3 linked regions of the Canis lupus familiaris genome follow. The protein of the gene in region 3 purifies or fractionates together with the protein of the main gene of each other region. This does not show direct contact. Links are inferred from orthologs where the notes say so. Each region holds a gene or a part of one and is shown on either strand. Other genes may lie near its edges.

Evidence for each region.
Region 1: the proteins of ENG (region 3) and ACVRL1 purify together in Homo sapiens (affinity purification with western blotting; 3 studies listed by BioGRID and IntAct, with this or other methods). This does not show direct contact. The link is inferred for Canis lupus familiaris from reciprocal best matches to the Homo sapiens genes ENG and ACVRL1.
Region 2: the proteins of ENG (region 3) and TGFBR1 purify together in Homo sapiens (affinity purification with western blotting; 5 studies listed by BioGRID and IntAct, with this or other methods). This does not show direct contact. The link is inferred for Canis lupus familiaris from reciprocal best matches to the Homo sapiens genes ENG and TGFBR1.

What each region holds. Positions count from the first base shown.
Region 1 is NC_049248.1:43,574,547-43,578,193, reverse strand, and holds part of ACVRL1 (serine/threonine-protein kinase receptor R3), read right to left. Parts: intron 2,821-3,647; exon of another isoform or gene 2,562-2,820; intron 2,272-2,561; coding exon 2,141-2,271; intron 968-2,140; coding exon 833-967; 3' UTR 1-832. UniProt on the Homo sapiens protein: Type I receptor for TGF-beta family ligands BMP9/GDF2 and BMP10 and important regulator of normal blood vessel development. On ligand binding, forms a receptor complex consisting of two type II and two type I transmembrane serine/threonine kinases.
Region 2 is NC_049232.1:56,544,832-56,548,478, reverse strand, and holds part of TGFBR1 (TGF-beta receptor type-1), read right to left. Parts: intron 3,392-3,647; coding exon 3,235-3,391; intron 1,400-3,234; coding exon 1,275-1,399; intron 1-1,274. UniProt on the Homo sapiens protein: Transmembrane serine/threonine kinase forming with the TGF-beta type II serine/threonine kinase receptor, TGFBR2, the non-promiscuous receptor for the TGF-beta cytokines TGFB1, TGFB2 and TGFB3.
Region 3 is NC_049230.1:55,645,090-55,649,205, forward strand, and holds the start of ENG (endoglin), read left to right. Parts: upstream 1-1,264; 5' UTR 1,265-1,541; coding exon 1,542-1,608; intron 1,609-4,116. UniProt on the Homo sapiens protein: Vascular endothelium glycoprotein that plays an important role in the regulation of angiogenesis. Required for normal structure and integrity of adult vasculature. Regulates the migration of vascular endothelial cells.

The DNA.
Region 1 (3,647 bases), on a different chromosome or scaffold from region 3:
CAGAGTGAAGGCCTCTTTCTCATCACCTAGGGCAATTGCCCAGGACCAGGACCTGGGTCTCCTGACTCCCAGCGGAGCCATTCCCCAGGTCTGCTCGGCTTCAACGTCTCTCTGGTTCTGAAAGTCCTGGGCCTCCTCCATCTGACCTACTACCTGCCCCACTGCCCTCTGACCCTGCCACACCTGCAGCAGGACTCCTTGGGCTTAATGCTGTAATAAGTGAGCTAGCACAGGGGTGGGGAAGGGGCCCAGGATCAGGCCCCAGCTCTCCCAGGCAGCTGGCACTCAGCTCACCCAGAAGACAGAGGCCGTAGGCCTCATGGAGCTGAGATACAAACCCACAGAGAGAAAATGATGGGCCCTGGGTGTAGGGCTTATGCCAGAGGCAGGCTGTCCACCAAAGGCTAGACAGGGCCCTGTGTCACCCTGGCAGCTCCGGTGGGGCCGTGAGGTTGACCGAGGGCAGGGGGTAAAGTGCAGGCCTGGGCTCTGGGCCCAGGACTGGGATTCCCTGGCCCGGCCACCCTGGCTCCGGGGCCTCTTTGCATCCTGTCCTGGGGGTGGTAGGGGCTGCGCCCAGGGCATGAGGGTGGGGAGGGAGCCAGGCGTCAGGGAGCCTGCTGCTTTGAGCAGGCCAGACGGCGGGGGATCGGGTTTCAGCCCAGCTGTATTTTTGGCTGGATGAGCCGGCGGGGCAGGCAGGGCCGCCCAAAGAGGGGCACCCTCCTCCCCAGCACACATACTCACACTACCTCTACCCAGATAGGCCACGTCTGCCGCCCACCCCACGCGCGCTCTGCAGGCAGAGGGGAGTCCGGCTTCAGGCCTGGGGCTAGTGAATCACTTTGGACTTCTCGAGACCGTTGCTCAGTTTCTGTAGTGTCTTCTTGATCCGCAGCGCAGTGAGGCGGGCAGAGGGGTTGGGGTACCAGCACTCCCGCATCATCTGAGCCAGGCCGGAGAGGACCTGCAGAGGAGAGGAAGCGGAGACGCGGGTCAGGGAAGCTGAGCAGGCGGTGACACGGAGGGTGCCCCGGGACAGAGAGACATAAGCAGGACAGAAAGGGCGGGAAGAGGGAGATGGGAGTGTTGAGGATGGGAAGAGGAAAGCCTGCGAGGTGAGGGGGGGAATGGAGGCAAGGATGAGAGGAGAGACCCAAAGATGGAAGATGAAGGCAGTGGGGACGGGGGAAGGCAGCAGGCAGGGCAGGAGGAGAGCTGGAACTCAGCTCTTCGGGCGCACCCAGGCCCCCTTTGGTGAGGAGTGTCTGTGGAACACCTTACACCCACCCCACCCACCTCCCCCAAGATCCGAGGATTGGGAGATGTGCAAGCCCGGGGGCTCCCCTCTGCTCTCGGCCCGGCGTGGAGGGCACGGACTCTCCCAGCGCCTCCTCCAGCCCCGCCTGGGCCCCCTGGAGGAGTGTCCAGGACGAAGCCATCCCAGGAAGCTCAGTGGCCCCAGAGTGAGCCAGCCTCTCCTCCATCCCAAAACTCAAGCTGGCCTGAGTGTACGTGTGTGTGCCTAGCAGCGCATATATGGGGCTGTTTATGGATAAGCATGTTGTACAGAAACACGCGTGTGTCTATGCACATGTACGTACATACATGTACTTTCCTTCCTTCCGGAAACACTGGTTGAGCACTCATTTGTGTGCCAGCCCGGGGACAGATAACAGGGATATAAGGTGGCAAGGGAGACACGTTCTTCGTCTTCAGAGGGCCGAGAGTCTGGCATGGATGCGCATGCCTGTGTGAGGACGTGTTCGTGCAGAGGCAGGTGCCCGCCTTTATGCGTCCACGTCCACGTGTGTATGTGTCTTATATGCATGTGGAGCGTTTTGAGAAAATAACGAAAACAGCAACAAGTTCAGAGCAAGAAATGCGGCAGAGAGGCTGACTTTTCACCACGAGATAGAAGGTTCTGAAATATCTCCGAGTAACCCAAATCTCGGGGTTCTGCAGGCCAGGGATGTGGGAGGGAGGACCCAGGGAGGTACCCTGGCATCTCTCCTCCGGAATCCATGCAGGTGAAGCAGAGACCTCAGGTACGTGTTCCCGGGGCCAGAACTCCCAGCTGTGAGCCCCTACCCCATGGCATCCCCAGGCCCCCACGCCCCCGCCCCCGCGGAGGCCTCACCGGGTCTGCGGCCAGCCGGTTGGGGATGGTGGGAGTCTGCTGATCAACACACACCACCTTCTTCATGTCCTCGAAGCTGGGATCATTGGGCACCACGTCATAGAAGGGTGGCCTGTAGTCCTCCACGATGCCTGAGGATGGCGGGGGGACGGACAGTCACTCGGCACCCCAAGAAGACCCCATTCCATCCCGAGGAGAGCCTTGCCCCACCTTCTGCCCCAGGGTGCAGAAAACCAGTTGTCTTACCCGTGTAAGACACGGGCCACGATAACATCATCAATATATTTTCAAAGAATAAGGATTACGGCTGTTGATTTTGCGCTCACCAGGTGCCAGGCATTGTGCTATGAACACTTTCATGCTTTATCTCGTTCGTCTTTGCGACAACCCCACGGGTATTACCGTAACCTCTATTTTACAGATGAAGAAACTGATGCTCGAGGAAGTGGAGCCCAAGGTTACACAGCCAGGAAAGGCAGAGTCAAGGCCTGAACTCCTCTCGTCGATTCCTCAGCCGGACCCTGTTCCGGTCTCTCCACGCTGCCTCCCACCCCGGGCCTGGGCACCACTCCCAGGCCCCAACTATCACAGATGCCCGATAAAAACATGGACTGGGCACGTACGCTGTGCCAGGCACTGTCCCGGCCGCACTGCATTAAATCCTCACAGCAACCCCGTAAGTCGCACTACCAGCTCCACTCTATGGACAATGCAACTAAGGCCAGAGGGGTGAGGAAACTCGTCTAAAAGCACACAGGTAGCGCGTGACTGAGCTAAGATTTAAGCCCAGATGGTCTGCACATTCTTGACCTGGGAGCAGTGCCGAAGGGAGGGGAGCTGGCCTGCTCTGGGGGGACGAGGTGGCGCGAGGAGAAAGGGACTTTTACCCAGGTCCATGTAACAGCCACCCCGTCCCAGAGATGGCACAGGCCTCGCTGCGTCCCCTCGCCATCCCTTAGCGGAGCCTTCTCGAAATGCTGCCTGGGGAGCCGCCCACAGCTCAGGCAGGAGAGGCCAGGCCCAGAGAAGGTGCCCCGGGCACCCCCTGCTCCCGGCCTGAGGCTGGGGGCCGTGGCCCCGCAGCCGCAACCTCAGTCGAGCCTCCGCCAGCTGTTCTCCCCGTGGCGGGCTTCCAGGCCGGCCCCTGTGCCGCTCCGGCCCTAATCAGCGCTGCACAGAGGCCTGAGCGTGTCTAATGGGCCTTTAATCAGCGCCGGGGCTGACACCAGATTACAGTGTTTATAATGCGCCACGAATCTGTGTGGGGCTTTCAGAGCTTCCCTCCGCCCCAGGAGCCTGCAGTCAGCCTTCCCGTCGGCCCTGGCCGGCCCAGCCTTCCCTTCCTGCCCGCACCGGTCCCTCCAGGTGTCCCTTCCGCAGCCCCAGTCTTCAGACCCTACACAGGGAGTTCACATCTGAAGGGCCAGGAATCTGAGCCCCTAGAGAGTCTCCCACAGGGACTGGTGACCCCCCGGCCTCCACCTGTTGATGCTGAGGGTAAATGAGG
Region 2 (3,647 bases), on a different chromosome or scaffold from region 3:
AACTACATATCACTAGGGGATCAGCAAAGGCTATTTTAATGACGGTTAACTATGAGCTATGATGACTTGATTAACATTTTCACCTCATGTGCAAGAAATGATAGTTTTTAACCTGTGAGTGCTCACCCTCTCACTTGGTACAGGGGATATACACTCTACCATGGAGATGTAAATCCTACAAGCAAATCTGGGGTGCAAGTCCTTTACCTCTACTTGGATCTGTCCTCTTTGCTATATAATACAGAGACATGCTCTCCCTCTTATTGCCACATAAACCCAAGTCTCAACCAAGCCTGGGCCCCTAAGTATAAGAAACTATTCCGCAAGTAAATATTAAAAGTGCTCAATCTAAAACTAAATTTCAGCTAAAATAAACTTGTTTAAAAACTAGTGTAATGGTAATGTAACTGTATTCTGTATATGTAACTTCCAGCTAAGAAGTTGGAGAAAATAACACACTCTCAGGGGGGAAAATGAGTTTGACCCAGGTACATGCTGTAGAAACAGCTTCCTGGGTGGCCTCTCAAGCAGTCATCCATTATAAATAACTATATTCCAAGATAACAAGGGCTTGGTTTCTCATGTTTCCCAAGATTCAAATGGAAATAGAAAAAGAATACACTAGAATAAGCATGTCATATCATGTCATTTCCCCCCACTGCAAATTTTATCTCCATTATTTTCTTTGGCACTCTCAGTGATCACCTGGTGAATATAATTTCTGACTACTAATGTGTATAATTTCATTCAATGAAAAAAACCAAACAAACAAACAAACAAAAACACGACAGGGGTGCCTGGGTGGCTCAGTCAGTTAAGCATCTGCCTTCGGCTCCAGTCATGATCCCAGGGTCCTGGCATTGAACCCCGCATTGGGCTCCCTGATCAGTGAGGAGTCTTCTCCTTCTCCCACTCATCCTGCTTGTGATTGCTCTCTACCACCATCTCTCAGTGTCAAATAAATAAATAAAAATCGTAAAGGGAATCCCTGGGTGGTTCAGTGGCTTAGTGCCTGCCTTTGGCCCAGAGCGTGATCCTGGAGTCCCAGGATGGAGTCCCATGTCGGGCTTCTGCGTGGAGCCTGCTTCTCCCTCTGCCTGTGTCTCTGCCTCTGTGTGTGTGTGTGTGTGTGTGTGTGTGTGTGTGTGTGTCTCTCATGAATAAAAAAATAAAATCTTAAAAAAAAAAAATCTTAAAGAAAAAAAAAAAAAGCGGCTATCCTGGACCACCTTTTCTGTTCATGACAAACTGTTGGGAGAGGGGGAGAAATTTACCACCAATGGAACATCGTCGAGCTATTTCCCAGAATACTAAGCCCATTGCATAGATGTCGGCACGTTTGAAGGATTCAAAGTGTTTCATATTTATGGAATCATCTAGAACTTCGGGGGCCATATACCTAAAAAAGAAGTCAGCAATTTACTTTATGGAATAGTAGCCATACTACTTTTGAACTGTTTCACATATTTTCTTTTCCTACTGAGAATTTTTTTTATATATATTTTTTAAATTGGTATTAACTTTAAGACTTTTCTTCCCTTTTAGCATGGTTCTGCTTTTTAAAATGACTCATGCTTCTTATAGAAATTTTCTCAAAGTTCAAAAAGTACAAAGTGAAAAATCATTAATGCTTTGATGAACAACCTTTCAGGTATCTCTATTCATATATGGAGATACACACACACACACACACACACACACACACACACACAATATTATATAACTAAAATATTAGACTCAAGAAAAATATTAAATATCCACACTGCTTTGAAAATTAATGATGTCAACTAAATGCCATGAAAAGCTGAAACAGCAATTTCATGCTATCTTATCTGCCTTATGATCTTCATTTCCAATGAAAGACACCTATATAACAATCATGACTATTATAAATGTCTTAACATATACCACCCACTTTGTCAAATACTATGCAGGGATCATATATTTTAATCTAGAAGTCTTCTCACTAAAATAGGATGAAAAGGAAGGATGAGGACATAATCCAGGGAACAAAATAATAGATTAAAAAATGAATGCCAGTCCTCCTACTGATGCCTCATTGTAGGGTTTTGGAATTTTAAAAACCCTCCTGAAGTTACAGATCAGGATCCATGAAGAACTGTAGCAATCACTGTCTTGAATCCCCACATCAAGAGTTCTGAGAGTCCTCGTCAAATCCAGAAATCACAGATACAACTGAGATAGAATAAAGCTTGGCTCTATCCAAGGTGGAGGCAATAGTGTGAAGATACATTGTGGCAACATGCTGTGATATACACACTAAGGCCTTTGGGGTCAGAAAGGCCTAAATTCAAATCTCAGCTCTTCAGGTGAGGCTGACCTTTTTATTTAACATCTATGGGGCTGTTTCCTCTTCTGTGAAATGAAGGCAATGACACCTACCTAGTTATGTTCTTTAGAAAACTCATAGATTCAACAAATATTTACTAAGGACTTACTATGCATTAGGTGCTATAATGGATGCTGGGAATACAAGCCTGATCTCAAGCAGCTTGCAATCCAATGGAATATAAAGACAAGTAAATGGAGAGTTATAATGTGCTCAGTGCCTTAATGGCCCAGCTTCACAGCTTGCTATGAGAGCCCCTGGGAAGGGCGCCTCACAGTCCAGGAAGGGCTTCCTCTAGGAAAGGAAGGGTGACTATAAATCAGGGAAACAAGACAATAAAGCTTTTTGCAGCAAAAAAAAATAAAAAAATAAAAAAAATAAACCAGGGAAACAGCAGGACAAAGTCTGCTCTAGGATACAACACATGCAGAAATTCTAAGGAAGAAAGTATAGTTCCAGGAACTAAAAATAAGAAAATAGTTGGGCTAGCTACAGTACAGCATTTGAAGAGAGCATTAACTGAGAGAATGAATATATATATATATATATATATATATTAAGCAAGAACCAAGCATATATATATGTATGACCCATTAAAATGACTGGCACATACTGGGTACCCTATAAACATCAGCTCCTATTATTATTATAATTTTTCTGGAAGGGCCACGAATGATATTTTCTGGAAGGGCCACCTTTCATCAGCAGGCATCTTTAAAAGTCAGGTAACCTTGGCTTCAGAGCAGGCAAGACCATGAGATCTTCTACCTGTGGGCAATCTAATAAAGTACAGGTTTGAGTTTCAGAAGATAATCCACATAAATGAGAAGGAAATTAAAAAGAAGTTGAGCTCAGAAGATAATAAACACTATTTACAAGCATACCTTTTTGTTCCCACTCTGTGATTTGGAGCAATATCAATGGTATCTGTGGCTGAATCATGTCTCACTGCCAGTCCTAAGTCTGCAATACAGCAAGTTCCATTCTTCTTTACCAAGATATTCTTAGATTTCAAATCTCTATGAGCAATGGCTGGTTTCCCTAAAGAAACAAAAAGTAAATGCAATTGCTTAAAAAGTGATAGCAATCACAATTCTCCCCTTTAGGTTCAAAGCCTCTTCTCCTATCCCAGTGTCAAAGCATTTCAGCCCATAATACCTGGACAATTACTAAACAACCTCAAATGAATCATTATATCAAAAGTTGCTGAAATTATATTTATTCAAAGAAAATGGAGAAAATAAGATGGTGCTCAAAAAATGTAAGTCTACCAATTCAAAGATGGGGAGTTAAAGAT
Region 3 (4,116 bases):
TCCATGATATTCCTTGGCCTTCATTCAAGGCGTCTCTCCAGAACCCGGCCCAGAGTCTGCCTCTCCAGCCTTCCTGTCCCCACCACACCCCTGCATGTCCCACAGCAGTCCGACCACTTCCTGCATCGCGCCTTTGCTGGGGCTGGTCCCCTGCCCAACGGACCCGCTTTACCCCCTTCTTCTGCATCTCTCCCCCACGCACCAAGTCCTTCAAAGGCCAGGCAGTTCAGGCTGCTTCCTCTGGGCTCCCTTGACCCGACCCCCAGGTGCCACCTGTGACTAACGCCATGTGGGCACACAGTTGGCACTTACTGTTTGCAGAATGAACTAAGGGCCAGTTCTGACACTGTCTCCCAGGCTCATGGGAGAGTGCTTCCTGTTCAGGCCTAAGCGCATTGTCCTGGTGCCCAGACCTCCCCAGATCCCATAGCCGCATGGCTGGGAAGGCACCATTGTGCCCACTTGACAAACAGGGTGAGGAGGGTTGTGGAAACTTGCTCGAGGTCTTGAAGGTCAGAGTAAGGAGAGCAGGGCTTTGAATCCAGGGCCGTCTGACCTCAGGAAGGCCATCAGGGGCTTTTTCATCTGGGGCTTTTGTCCCTGGAGGATTTTCCACCCTTGAAGGGGGCAGACCTAGTGTTTCCTATCCTCCCTGGGCCCTGAGGCCTCTCAGCCCCAGCTGGCACTTGGGAGTGTTCCTTCCATATCCCATGCCTTAGTTTCCCCGCCTGCAAAGCAAGAAACGACAAGCCAGTGGCAGGCTAATGTAAGCTTGGTGCTTGATGACACCTAATCAAATCCATCTTTCAGGGCCAATTATCTCACCTCATCAGACCTCTGTTTTCTCATCTGCAGAATGGGGACAACTGAGTTCAAGAACTATAAGCTCCACCTGGGCCTCCTTGGCCAGGGCCTGGCCTGGAACGGCTCCTTGGTGGGCTGTTAGGGTGATCATTTTCATCGGCGCTTTGGGGGCTGCCAGATGCGCCCCAGCAGCTGGCCCTTCAGGGGGTGGGATGGGAGGGTGGGGTGCATAGGGAGACCAGCCTGGAGCCTGGGCCCTCCCACTCCCCCCCCCACCCCCCGCAACTCCCCCCCCAGCCCGAGGGCTCCCCACCCAGCGACAAAGCCCGTGGCACTTCCTCTGCGTGCCTGGCAGGCCGCCTGGCCCGGCCCCTTCTCTAAGGAAGCGCATTTCCTGCCTCCCAGGCCGGCCTGGATGAGCCCGGAGCTCCCCACCGCTGCCTGTCAGACCCCCCAGCCTCCAGCTGCATCCCCAGGCCCGGACCTGCCGCTGCCGCCTCCGCCTCCACCGCCCTGCTCATCCTCTGGCCGTGACCCCCGGCCGGCCCGGCGCCCCTGTGCCCACTTCTCCTGACCCCTCCGCCGCCACCTCAGAAGGCTGGAGCGGGGACGCCGTCGCTCCGGCCGCCTGTTCCCCTCGGGTCCCCGCTCGCGCCCACGCCGGCCCCCACACCCACCCGCAGCCCTGCCCCTGGACACCGGATAAGGCCCCGTGCGCAGACCCCCTGGTGGACCGCATGGACCGCACCGCGCTTCCCCTGGTCGTCGCCCTACTCCTGGCCATCTGCAGCCTCAGACATACAGGTAGGTGTCGGGGGACCCTGGGGTGGGGTGGGGGACCCTCGGCCCCATGTGCTCCCGGCATCTCTCCTGGTCCTGACCTCATGCCCAGTGGGGCTGTACTGGGGGGCTTGGACACCAGAGGGGGGTACCCACCATCCCGTCTTGGCTAGATAGAGAACTTTCAGCCCTAAAAGTCTCAAGCATAAAGGGATGAGTTATTTGCCTTAATCCCGGCCTCTGGCCTCTGCCCTACCAGCTAAGTCTAGTTTCTCCCCAGAAAGCCTAGGTCGCAGAGTGTGTGCAGTCGGGGGAGGGCCTCCTGCCCTCTCTGGGCCTTCAGGTTCCCATCTGAGGAACCCGTGGGAAGGAGGGCCTGTGGATTCGCAGTCAGCACTAAGGCTCTTGGTTCAAAACTCACGTGGTTACTTCCTCCTGGTGTGATGTTGGGGGGACTACCTTTGGGCCTCTGAGCTGAGCAGGGATGGCAACGGAACTCCTCTGGGGCAGCTGGGGGGCCGGTGGTGAGGCCATGCTTAGAGAGCGAGCTCCAGAGCGGGCTGGAGGATTCTGTGTTGTTATTGAGGCTTTATGATTCGCTTTAAATTCCTGCCTCTCACCTCCCCAGGGCCCCTGAGCGGCTCCCAGAACATTCTTGAACATAGGGCTCTCCCTCTGTCTCTACTTACTTTCTCTTCCTCAAGATGCTGCAGGGTGGGGACACGGGCCCAGGGCTCTGCAGGGGCTTCTCTGTCTGGGGGCTTTCCCAGGTGGTCATGGTTCTGCGGCCTTCCAAAAGTGACCAGATGAGGGACCATGAGGAGCTGGGGACTCCAGACCTTCATCCCACTCTCATCCCACTCATGCCGGCCTCGCTGTGTCCACTCCGCAGGACAGCCCGGTGGGCACCCTTCATCTATGGCACATCCAGAAACTGTCTAAAGGATCTGGGGGTGGGGAGGAGAGAGTGTAGGGGAAGAGCACAGCAGTGGCCACCCTCCCCACCTGATCCCAACCTGTGGACTTTAAAGCCCCTAGTTCTTGGTCTCTAAACGCCTACCCCTGTCTTACTGATCACAGGAAACTGTCTCAGACATTAAGTGACCGAGCACAGATTTCACCCTAGGCTTGTGGTTCCTAAGCATGTGTAATACGCACCCTCCACCCCCATAGAGCTCCCCGAAACCCGGTAAGATGGCTGCCTTTATCTCCACATTTCACAGGAGAGGAAGTAGAGGCTGTACCTGCCAGGTTCACACAGCTTAGACAGAAGCCTACCTGGGCTCCACGATAGGCCTCCAGGCTGCCCTTTCTCCTGCCTCCCCCACGTGTCTAACTTGATAACACTGTCTTCTTCATCTCATCAGAGAAAGATCTGTGTAGAGCTTTAGGGTCTGGTTCTATGGGATGGAAAGCAATGGTGTGCTGGCAAATAATTAACAACAGGGGTGGAGGGTGTTGGGGATAGTGTTTGTTAATGTCCAGGGTATTAATGTTCTCACATGGCTGATTGCAAGCTACCAACTCACCAACCTTGCAGTTGGGATGCGGTGTCCATAGACCCTTTGGTATCTTTGCCACACAGATGCAACAGACATCTGACCTCAAGAGCATAGGTTTAGAAAAATGGAGCAAAATAGCTAGGAAATAGTGAGTTTTGACATTTATTACCATTTTTAAAATGTAATTTATTTTTAAGCTTGTAAAACTTAAATTATTTTAAAAGATTTTATTTATTCATGAGAAACAGAGAGAGAGGCGGAGACATAGGCAGAGGGAGAAACAGTTTCCCTGCAGTGAGCCTGATGTGGGACTCGATCCCAGGACCTGGGATCACGATCTGAGCCAAAGGCAGATGCTCATCCACTGAGCCACCCAGGGGCCCCTAAAATTTAATTTTTTAAGATTTTATTTTATTTTTTTTAATATTTTACTTATTTATTCATTAGAGACAGAGAGAGACAGAGAGGTGGAGACACAGGCAGAGGGAAAAGTAGGCTCCATGCAGGAGCCCCATGTGGGACTTGATCCTGGGGTTCCAGGACCATGCTCTAGGCCAAAGGCAGGCGCTAAACCGCTGAGCCACCCAGGAATCCCCTAAGATTTTATTTTTAAGTAATCCCTACACCCAATGTGGGGCTCAAACCTACAACCCAGAGATCAAGAGTCATATACTCCACTGACTGAGCCAGCCAGGTGCCCCAAAATTTATTTTTTTTAAAAAGATATTATTTATTTACTTGAGAGAGAGAGAAAGAGGGGCAGAGAGAGAGGGAGAAGCAGACTCCCCTGCTAAGCAGGGAGCCCAACGCAGGGCTCGATCCCAGAACCATAGGATCATGAGCTGAAGGCAAACGCTTAACCTACTGAGCCATCAGGGTGCCCCACAATTTAATTTTTAACAATGGCTGTGTTTATTTTTTTTATTATTTTTATTTTTTTAAAGATTTTTTATTTATTCATAATGATAGATAGATAGATAGATAGAGAGGCAGAGACACAGGCAGAGGGAGAAGCAGGCTCCATGCACCG